2 linked regions of the Cricetulus griseus genome follow. The protein of the gene in region 1 interacts with the protein of each later gene in a biochemical or structural test. Links are inferred from orthologs where the notes say so. Each region holds a gene or a part of one and is shown on either strand. Other genes may lie near its edges.

Evidence for each region. The genes of interacting proteins can lie anywhere in the genome.
Region 2: the proteins of Lmna (region 1) and Emd form a complex in vitro, tested with the Homo sapiens proteins (4 studies listed by BioGRID and IntAct, with this or other methods). The link is inferred for Cricetulus griseus from reciprocal best matches to the Homo sapiens genes LMNA and EMD.

What each region holds. Positions count from the first base shown.
Region 1 is NW_023276806.1:66,025,506-66,029,952, forward strand, and holds the end of Lmna (lamin), read left to right. Parts: intron 1-278; coding exon 279-499; intron 500-588; coding exon 589-811; intron 812-1,430; coding exon 1,431-1,538; intron 1,539-1,634; coding exon 1,635-1,754; intron 1,755-2,149; coding exon 2,150-2,239; intron 2,240-2,942; coding exon 2,943-3,209; intron 3,210-3,471; coding exon 3,472-3,498; downstream 3,499-4,447.
Region 2 is NC_048604.1:1,458,126-1,461,358, forward strand, and holds part of Emd (emerin), read right to left. Parts: intron 2,000-3,233; 5' UTR 1,845-1,999; intron 1,301-1,844; 5' UTR 995-1,300; coding exon 913-994; intron 749-912; coding exon 641-748; intron 514-640; coding exon 436-513; intron 267-435; coding exon 133-266; intron 1-132. UniProt on the Homo sapiens protein: Stabilizes and promotes the formation of a nuclear actin cortical network. Stimulates actin polymerization in vitro by binding and stabilizing the pointed end of growing filaments. Inhibits beta-catenin activity by preventing its accumulation in the nucleus.

The sequences.
Region 1 (4,447 bases):
GATAAGGCCATGGTGCCCCCCCCCTTTTTTTTTTCTTTCGAGACAGGATCTTTGTGTAACCTTGGCTGTCCTGGAACTCACTGTGTAGACCAGGCTGGCCTCAAACTCACAGAGATCCTCCTGCCTCTGCCTCCCGTGTGCTGGGATTAAAGGCATGCGGCACCACCACCTGGCTTGCCATGGTGTTTCTAAGGAGAGCCCACAGATCCTGCCCCCCCTTCTTCATTACTTTTGGCCCTTGGGCGCTCATCACACCTTGCCTTTCCCACCCATCCCAGTTGGCAGCCAAGGAGGCAAAGCTGCGTGACCTGGAGGACTCCCTGGCTCGAGAGCGGGATACTAGCCGGCGGCTGCTGGCTGAAAAAGAGCGAGAGATGGCCGAGATGCGGGCGAGGATGCAGCAGCAGCTCGATGAGTATCAGGAGTTGCTGGACATCAAGCTGGCCCTGGACATGGAGATCCATGCCTATAGAAAGCTGCTGGAGGGCGAGGAGGAGAGGTGAGCCAGGAGGGGTCGAAAGACGTTGGCAGGAGCCTCTGGACTGCAACTACCATGACTAACCCCCCACCTTGTCTCCACCTTCCCAGGCTACGCCTGTCCCCCAGCCCTACCTCGCAGCGCAGCCGTGGCCGCACCTCTTCTCACTCATCCCAATCGCAGGGTGGGGGCAGCGTCACCAAAAAGCGCAAGCTGGAGTCCACTGAGAGCCGGAGCAGCTTCTCACAGCACGCTCGCACTAGCGGGCGGGTGGCTGTGGAGGAAGTAGATGAGGAGGGAAAGTTTGTGCGGCTGCGCAACAAGTCCAACGAGGTGGGCCTCAGGATCAGAGTCTTGCATTCAATAGCTGGGCGACATTGGTTCTCATGGAGCATCCATCTCTCTGGGAATTTGGAGTGTGACAGTCCCTACATCTCTAAAATTGTTGGGAAGATGGAAGATACCAGTGTGTGTGGCACAGTATACATGTTCACACAGCCACAGTAGGACCCTTGAGGGATAGGGTAGAGAGGCTAGTAGGTTTGAATACCAGAGATGGTGGTGGCAGACCTGGTTTTTGTTGTTGTTGTTATTTTTTATTTTTTATTTTTTGGATCAAGCTATTCCCCCTGTCCCCATGCCTCAGTACCAAAATCTGTAGTAGCTGGGACTACAGGTGTACACTATGGCATCTGGCCTACCCCGGCTCTTTTGTGAGATAAGTACCAGGTTGAAGACAGACTTTGAAGATTCTCCCCCCCCCCCCATGGAAGGCCTCATCCTCCCCGGGGAGCAGAAAGGGGATGGGTTAGGGAGTTAGTGGGGGGCAGGGGAGTTAGAAGGAACTGGGATTGACATGTAAAACAAGCTTGTTTCTAATTTAAATGAAAAAATAGAAAAAAAAAAAAGTACCGGGTTGAGTCTCCCGTTCTCCTCCCTCCCTCACTGGCAGGACCAGTCCATGGGAAACTGGCAGATCAAGCGTCAGAATGGTGATGACCCCTTGATGACATATCGCTTCCCACCAAAGTTCACTCTAAAGGCTGGGCAGGTGGTGACGGTGAGTGGAAGGGTGTTTGGGATTCTGGAGTGGAGAAGTTGGCCTCTGGACAGGAGCGTTAAGAATAAACACACTTCTTAAACTGTCTTTTCCCAGATCTGGGCTGCAGGAGCTGGGGCCACCCATAGCCCCCCTACTGACTTGGTGTGGAAGGCACAGAACACCTGGGGCTGTGGGAACAGCCTTCGTACAGCTCTCATCAACTCCACTGGAGAAGTGAGTATGTTGCAGCCTGGACCAGGCTCCCCCTGGTGGCCATAATGAGAGTCAGCTGCCCTCAACCCAATGCAACCTTGAATCACGTTCCAAGTGCCCACCCAGTAAGCAAGCTAGAAGTCTCCCCAGCAGGGTAATGGGTGGAAATCAGCCAGTGAATGTTGTTAGCTGCAGACTCGGCCTAAAGAGAGCTGATCTCCCAGGGGTGTCCTTTCTATATGTGTGCACAAGCACACTCCTTGACTCCAGTGTTAGAGGTCAGAGCAAACAGCCGGTTAGGGCAGAGCCTGGGAAGGTTCTAGGTGGTTATAGAGGGTTCTGGGAAGGTACTATGGGTAGACAGGCTGCATGGCCCCCACCCCCTGACTCTTGGGCCTGGGCCTATGTTCCCATAGGAAGTGGCCATGCGCAAGCTGGTGCGCTCAGTGACCATGGTTGAGGACGATGAGGATGAGGATGGAGATGAACTGCTCCATCACCACCACGTGAGTGGCGGCCGCCGCTGAGACCCAGCCCACATGGGTAGCCCTACCAGCCTAGGGCAGCTCCCCCACCTCTATGCCAAAGGTCTTTTCATTAAAGAATGTTTTGGAATGCCACTTGCTGCCCTGGCCTTTCTTCTCTCTCCTCCCTCTACCTTGAACAGGGAACCCAGGTGTCTGGTAAGGAAGGGAGTGGGAACTTTCTGGTGCCAAGGACTGTTCCACGGTGGCAGTGGACAAGGATCTGGATTTGTCTCCTGGGAAGGGGATGGGAGGACAGAGATGGCCCCAGCCCTGCCTCTCCCCTCCCTGCATGCATTCCTCTGCTGTCTCTTCTTCATCTGCTGCATGCTTCTTCTCACGTTCCCCTTATTTCCCGGCAACAGTGATTTCTCTCATTCCTGTCCCCTCCCTCACAAATTAAATATCTCCATCTCTGATCTCCCTCCCAATTTCCCTGTGAGATCCTAGGATTCAGGACAGTGTGAAAGCCACACCTCTCCATCTCGAAGCCTTCCTGGCCATTTTCCCCTGTCATGTCCTTCCTCCTAGCCACAGGCCTCCCAAGTCCCTATTCACTCCAGCTGTCTGGGTACAGAGGTCATCTTCCTGCCCAATGGCCAGGAAACTATAGGAGCCCAGAGCCTGGTCCTAAGCAGTCAGTCCCAGACGCACTGTCCCTCCTGAGCCTTGTCTCCCTTCCCAGGGCTCCCACTGCAGCAGCTCGGGGGACCCCGCTGAGTACAACCTGCGCTCACGCACCGTGCTGTGTGGGACTTGTGGGCAGCCTGCCGACAAGGCTGCCAGTGGCTCAGGAGCCCAGGTGGGCGGATCCATCTCCTCTGGCTCTTCTGCCTCCAGTGTCACAGTCACTCGAAGCTACCGCAGTGTGGGGGGCAGTGGGGGTGGCAGCTTCGGGGACAGCCTAGTCACCCGCTCCTACCTCCTGGGCAACTCCAGTCCCCGGACCCAGGTAAGTCATCATCGATCTGCATCTACCCCTACAGCAGGACACTGCTCACTAAGCAGCAGGGCAGGGCAGGCCACGGGAGTGGGACCCTCCTCCTTGTAGCCCCTCTTACACCCTGCCCCTCCTGTCTGAACCCCAGACTTGAGGGCAGGGCCAGAGCCAGAGGGTGAGGGTTGGGGGGACACACACCCCTTTGGGGTCAGGGAGGGAAAGGATGGGCCAGCCACTGTGCTCGCTCACATCTCTGCATTCTCTTCTCTCTTAGAGCTCCCAGAACTGCAGCATCATGTAATCTGGGACCTGCCAGGCAGGGGTGGGGCCAGAGGCCACCTGCTCCCACCTCACCTCATGCCCACCTCCTGCTCTGCACCTAATGGGAGCAGGCCTGAAGCCAAAGAAAAAATTTATTTCCTGCCTTTGGGTTTTTTTTCTTCTTCTTCTATTTTTTTTTCTAAGAGAAGTTATTTTCTACAGTGGTTTTATACTGAAGGAAAAACACAAGCAAAAAAAAAAGTCTCTATCTCAATCCTAAGTCCTTCCCATACTTTCCCTGTATCTGCCTTAAAATCAATGGGCTTCTTTCTCCAAGGAGCCCAGGGAAAGGACTGCTTTTATAACGGCTAGTTTTTGTCCTGCTGCCTTGGCCTTGCGCTTATCCCAGCACCCTGTGACATGGTGCCTGAGAGGCAGGCGTGGAGTTCTCTTCATCAGCCTCCTCCAGACAGCTGGCCCACTGCCACGCCGGCTGCAGAGAAAGGGGGTGCAGAGGGGATGGCTGAGAGAGGTCAAGCCCCTCCTGGTTCCACTGCACTTGGCTGAGCCTCCTCTGCCTGCCTTATACTCTTCCTGCCCCTCCCTAGCCTGGGGTCAGTGGATTCTCCCAGGCACCCCTGCCATGCTTGCTTTTTCTATATTTTATTTAGACAAAGATGGGAGTGAGGTGGGAGGAGGAGGGAAGGCCAGTCTGAGCCTGCCTTTTCCCAGCTTTAGAGCCTGGTGGGCCCTGTCCAGTCACTGGAAGGCAAAATCAAGTGGGAAGAGTGAGAAAGTAGGCTGCTGCAAAGGGCGAGAGCCGGCTGCGGCCCTGCCACAAGGGAGGCCTGTGAGTAGAGTAGAGTAGAGGGTGTGATGATTGGTGGTTACGGTAAACACTAAGGAGCCCTTCACCCCATTTCCCATCTGCACCTCTGCTCTCCCTCCAAATCAATACACTAGCTGTTTCCATCCTGGATGCTGTGCTG
Region 2 (3,233 bases), on another chromosome or scaffold:
CAGCTGTATGCCGACCCTAACCCTATTTGACCGCCTAAGGACTACTCTCTGTACCTAATATCTCCTTGGACTTATCCAGACCCAGTTAGGATCCTCTCAGACTACATCCAGATATGCTGCCAGTCAACTCACCTGGTGATGGAAGGTGTGGGTATCTGCAAGTGAGGTCCCTGGCTGGCGAAAGCTCTTGGACATACCCACAGACTCGGGCTCCCCATATGTCCTGGTGGTCAAATAACTCTCCTCATAGTAGTCGTCATTATATTCTTGGGAAGGAAAAACAGTGGTAAAGGAGAAAGTGACCTCATGGCCCCAAATTCTGTGTGTGTGCTGTGACAGTTTCTCCACTCTAGAGCCATTGAGAACTGGGGTGAAGTCTTAGGTTTCCCTGTGCCCAAATTCCCTGATAAAGGACCCACCCCACACCTGTCTTACCCTTGCTCTGGTAAAGTAAGGCATCCTCTTTTTTGGGCAGATCATACATGTCTGAGTCCACGGAGGCTGAATCCAAGTCTGCATTAAGGGGGAGGTAGAGACCATTAGGCATCCCTCTATTCCCTCAATTGCTTCAGCCACACCCTCCCTCCCCAAGCCTTGTGTCTCCAAGCAGCTCAGCCAGGCTCTGCGGCGGGGGACTCACCTGAGAACCTGTAAGAGAATGAAGAGGATGACGAGTTGGGGGGCGAGAGCCTCCGTCTCTGGGTCTCGTACTCGAAGATTTTCTTTTCGTAGAGCTTGCGAGTGGAGCCTGGTCAGATACAGGGTGCGAGGCGGTCAGGGGGTGCGAGCTGGGCACCCCGAGTGCGCCGGGGAATACGGGGAGGGGACGAGGAGGTAGGGGATAACGCTCAGCGAGGAGCGCGGGAAAGCGGGGCCTGGGATAGGTTCTCCGCGCCACAGTCTGCCGCGTACCCACGATAGGCCCATGCGGGATGTTGTACTGGCGTAGCACGGCGGCCAGCTCAGTGTCGGATAAAACAGCATAGTCGTCCATGGCAGACCCGGCCGACACCGGGGAGCGGTGTTGAACGTAAGGGGTGGCCCGGGCCTATGGACACGGCCTAGGAAACGGACAGCTCCTAGAGCGACGAAGGAAGCTCCAGCGCCTTAGAAGCGGTTGTGGTCGCGTCACGCCTCCGTTACGTTTGCGTCACAGCCACGGCTACGCGGCCACGGCTACGCGAGTTGCGCGCGCTCCTTAGGGCAGGCTCAAACCCGCCAGAATGGCCGGTACAGACCGGTCTGGCGGTTGGAACAGGCGGGGCTGGAGAATGTAAACGTCACACTTGTGTGGGATTGGCTAGAACAGGAAGAGGGAGGGGCCTGTAGGAGAGCCAGGGGAGCAGCTGACTAGACTACCCAGGTTAGCTAGACGTTAGCAGAGGGTGTGTTAAGAGTTAGATGTGCTAGAGGGGCGGAAAAGGGTCTGTGGTTGGGAGACTGGGATCTCTTTGTCACTGGCTTCACTCCGATTTTATTTCTCAGTGCTCTAGCGAACTATGGTCCTCAGGGGCAGTCTGTTCCACAGCAATGCAAAGAGTCCAATCCTGAGAGCGAACCCTTTCAGACAGCCTGGTACTGCTGGGAACTCTTTGTGCACACTAGTGCCAAGAAACAGCTGCGATTCAGGGCTCTCATCACCTAAGTAGCCACCCGCAGACCCCTGGCCCGCCCCACCCATCTTCGCTGGTCTTCTCAGTCTCCGTGGCCCTGCCTGCCCCCTAGCTCCATCTGGGAGGAAATGGGGCAAGCAACTGGGCCAGGGAGGCTGCCAGCACTCCAGGACCAAGAAGCCTTCCAAAGGCCCCGAGACATGCCAGTGGTCATAATCAGAAGACACCCACCTTGTGATGCGTGTAGACGGGTACACTTTGTGCCTGTCTAACTCACATTTCCATCCACCTGGGGCCCTGAAGAGTTCTGCAGTAGAGTTCTTGTTTGGCAGAGTAGAATAACCCCTAAACTTGGTATGACCTTGGAGGCCATCAGGGTGCACAACCTAGAGGCAAACCGGGAATCAATTAAGGCTTACAAAGGATCTGTATCAGACAAAGGTTATCTCGAATAGTGACCATGTATTTATTGTTCTACACAAAGTCATCTGGAACTAGGTAGGCTGCCCCTTATTGGACAGACTTAGGAGGAGGGGTACATGCAGAAAAGGTGCCTGGGATACCTGATCTCTTAAAGCAGTGGTTATCAACCTTCCTAATGCTGTGACCTTTAATGCAGTTCCTCATGTTGTGGTGACCCCAACCATAAAATTATTTTCGTAGCTATTTCACAACTATAATTTTTCTATAGTTATGTTTGTTTTTTTTTTTTTTTTGGTTTTTCGAAACAGGGTTTCTCTGTGTAGCTTTGGAGCCTATCCTGGCACTCGCTTTGAAGACCAGGCTGGCCTCGAACTCACAGAGATCCGCCTGCCTCTGCCTCCCGAGTGCTGGGATTAAAGGTGTGCGCCACCAACACCCGGCTGAGAACCACTGTCTTAAATGATAGTGATAGTGAGTGTTCTGATCAGTTCTAGGCTGACCTGATGGCATTTAGGTGAAGGCCACAGGCCAATTCTTTATGGAAGTTTAAAGTAGGCAATGATGAGAAGGAGCCCTGTTTTGACCACATAAAAAAGTCGTTAATGAAGAAGGGTTGGTGTTGAATGGATTTAAAAGACAGTGCCCTCCTCTGTCCCTGGAAATGGAGCTATATGAATCCCTGGAAAAGATACTGTCTTACGAAGAGACAGGAGAACCTTGGGCAGGAGTGTGTGTAAGTGAGAGACAGAGTAGGGCAGAGAGAGACATTCTGTCCATTCAGAGGCTGCTTCATGAATATTTTTTAGTTTTGGCAAAATCAGATTTCCCAGCATTTCCCTCCCCCTATGCTGGCCCCTCTCCCAGAGGCCTCTGCATACAGAGTGATTGCTCAGTACTACCCTATGCCCCCCCTACAGAATCAAGTTGCTTCCTTATGAGGTCAAGGAATTTTAGGTTTGCCTTCTCCCTAAGGATCACCCTCTGCACCTGCCTCAGCACACTGCCTCTTAATCCCCTCACTATCCCACTATAAAATCCTATCACAGATGTTATCAGGAATCTGAACTGTGGTTTTCTTGCACAAACCTGGAGCTTAAGTCTAGTCCATTGCAGTGTAACTCCCTTCTCTACCATTCAGCAGAAGAATCAAGATCCCAGAGTCTAAAGAGGCTTTTGCAATAGCCCCAAATTGAGTGA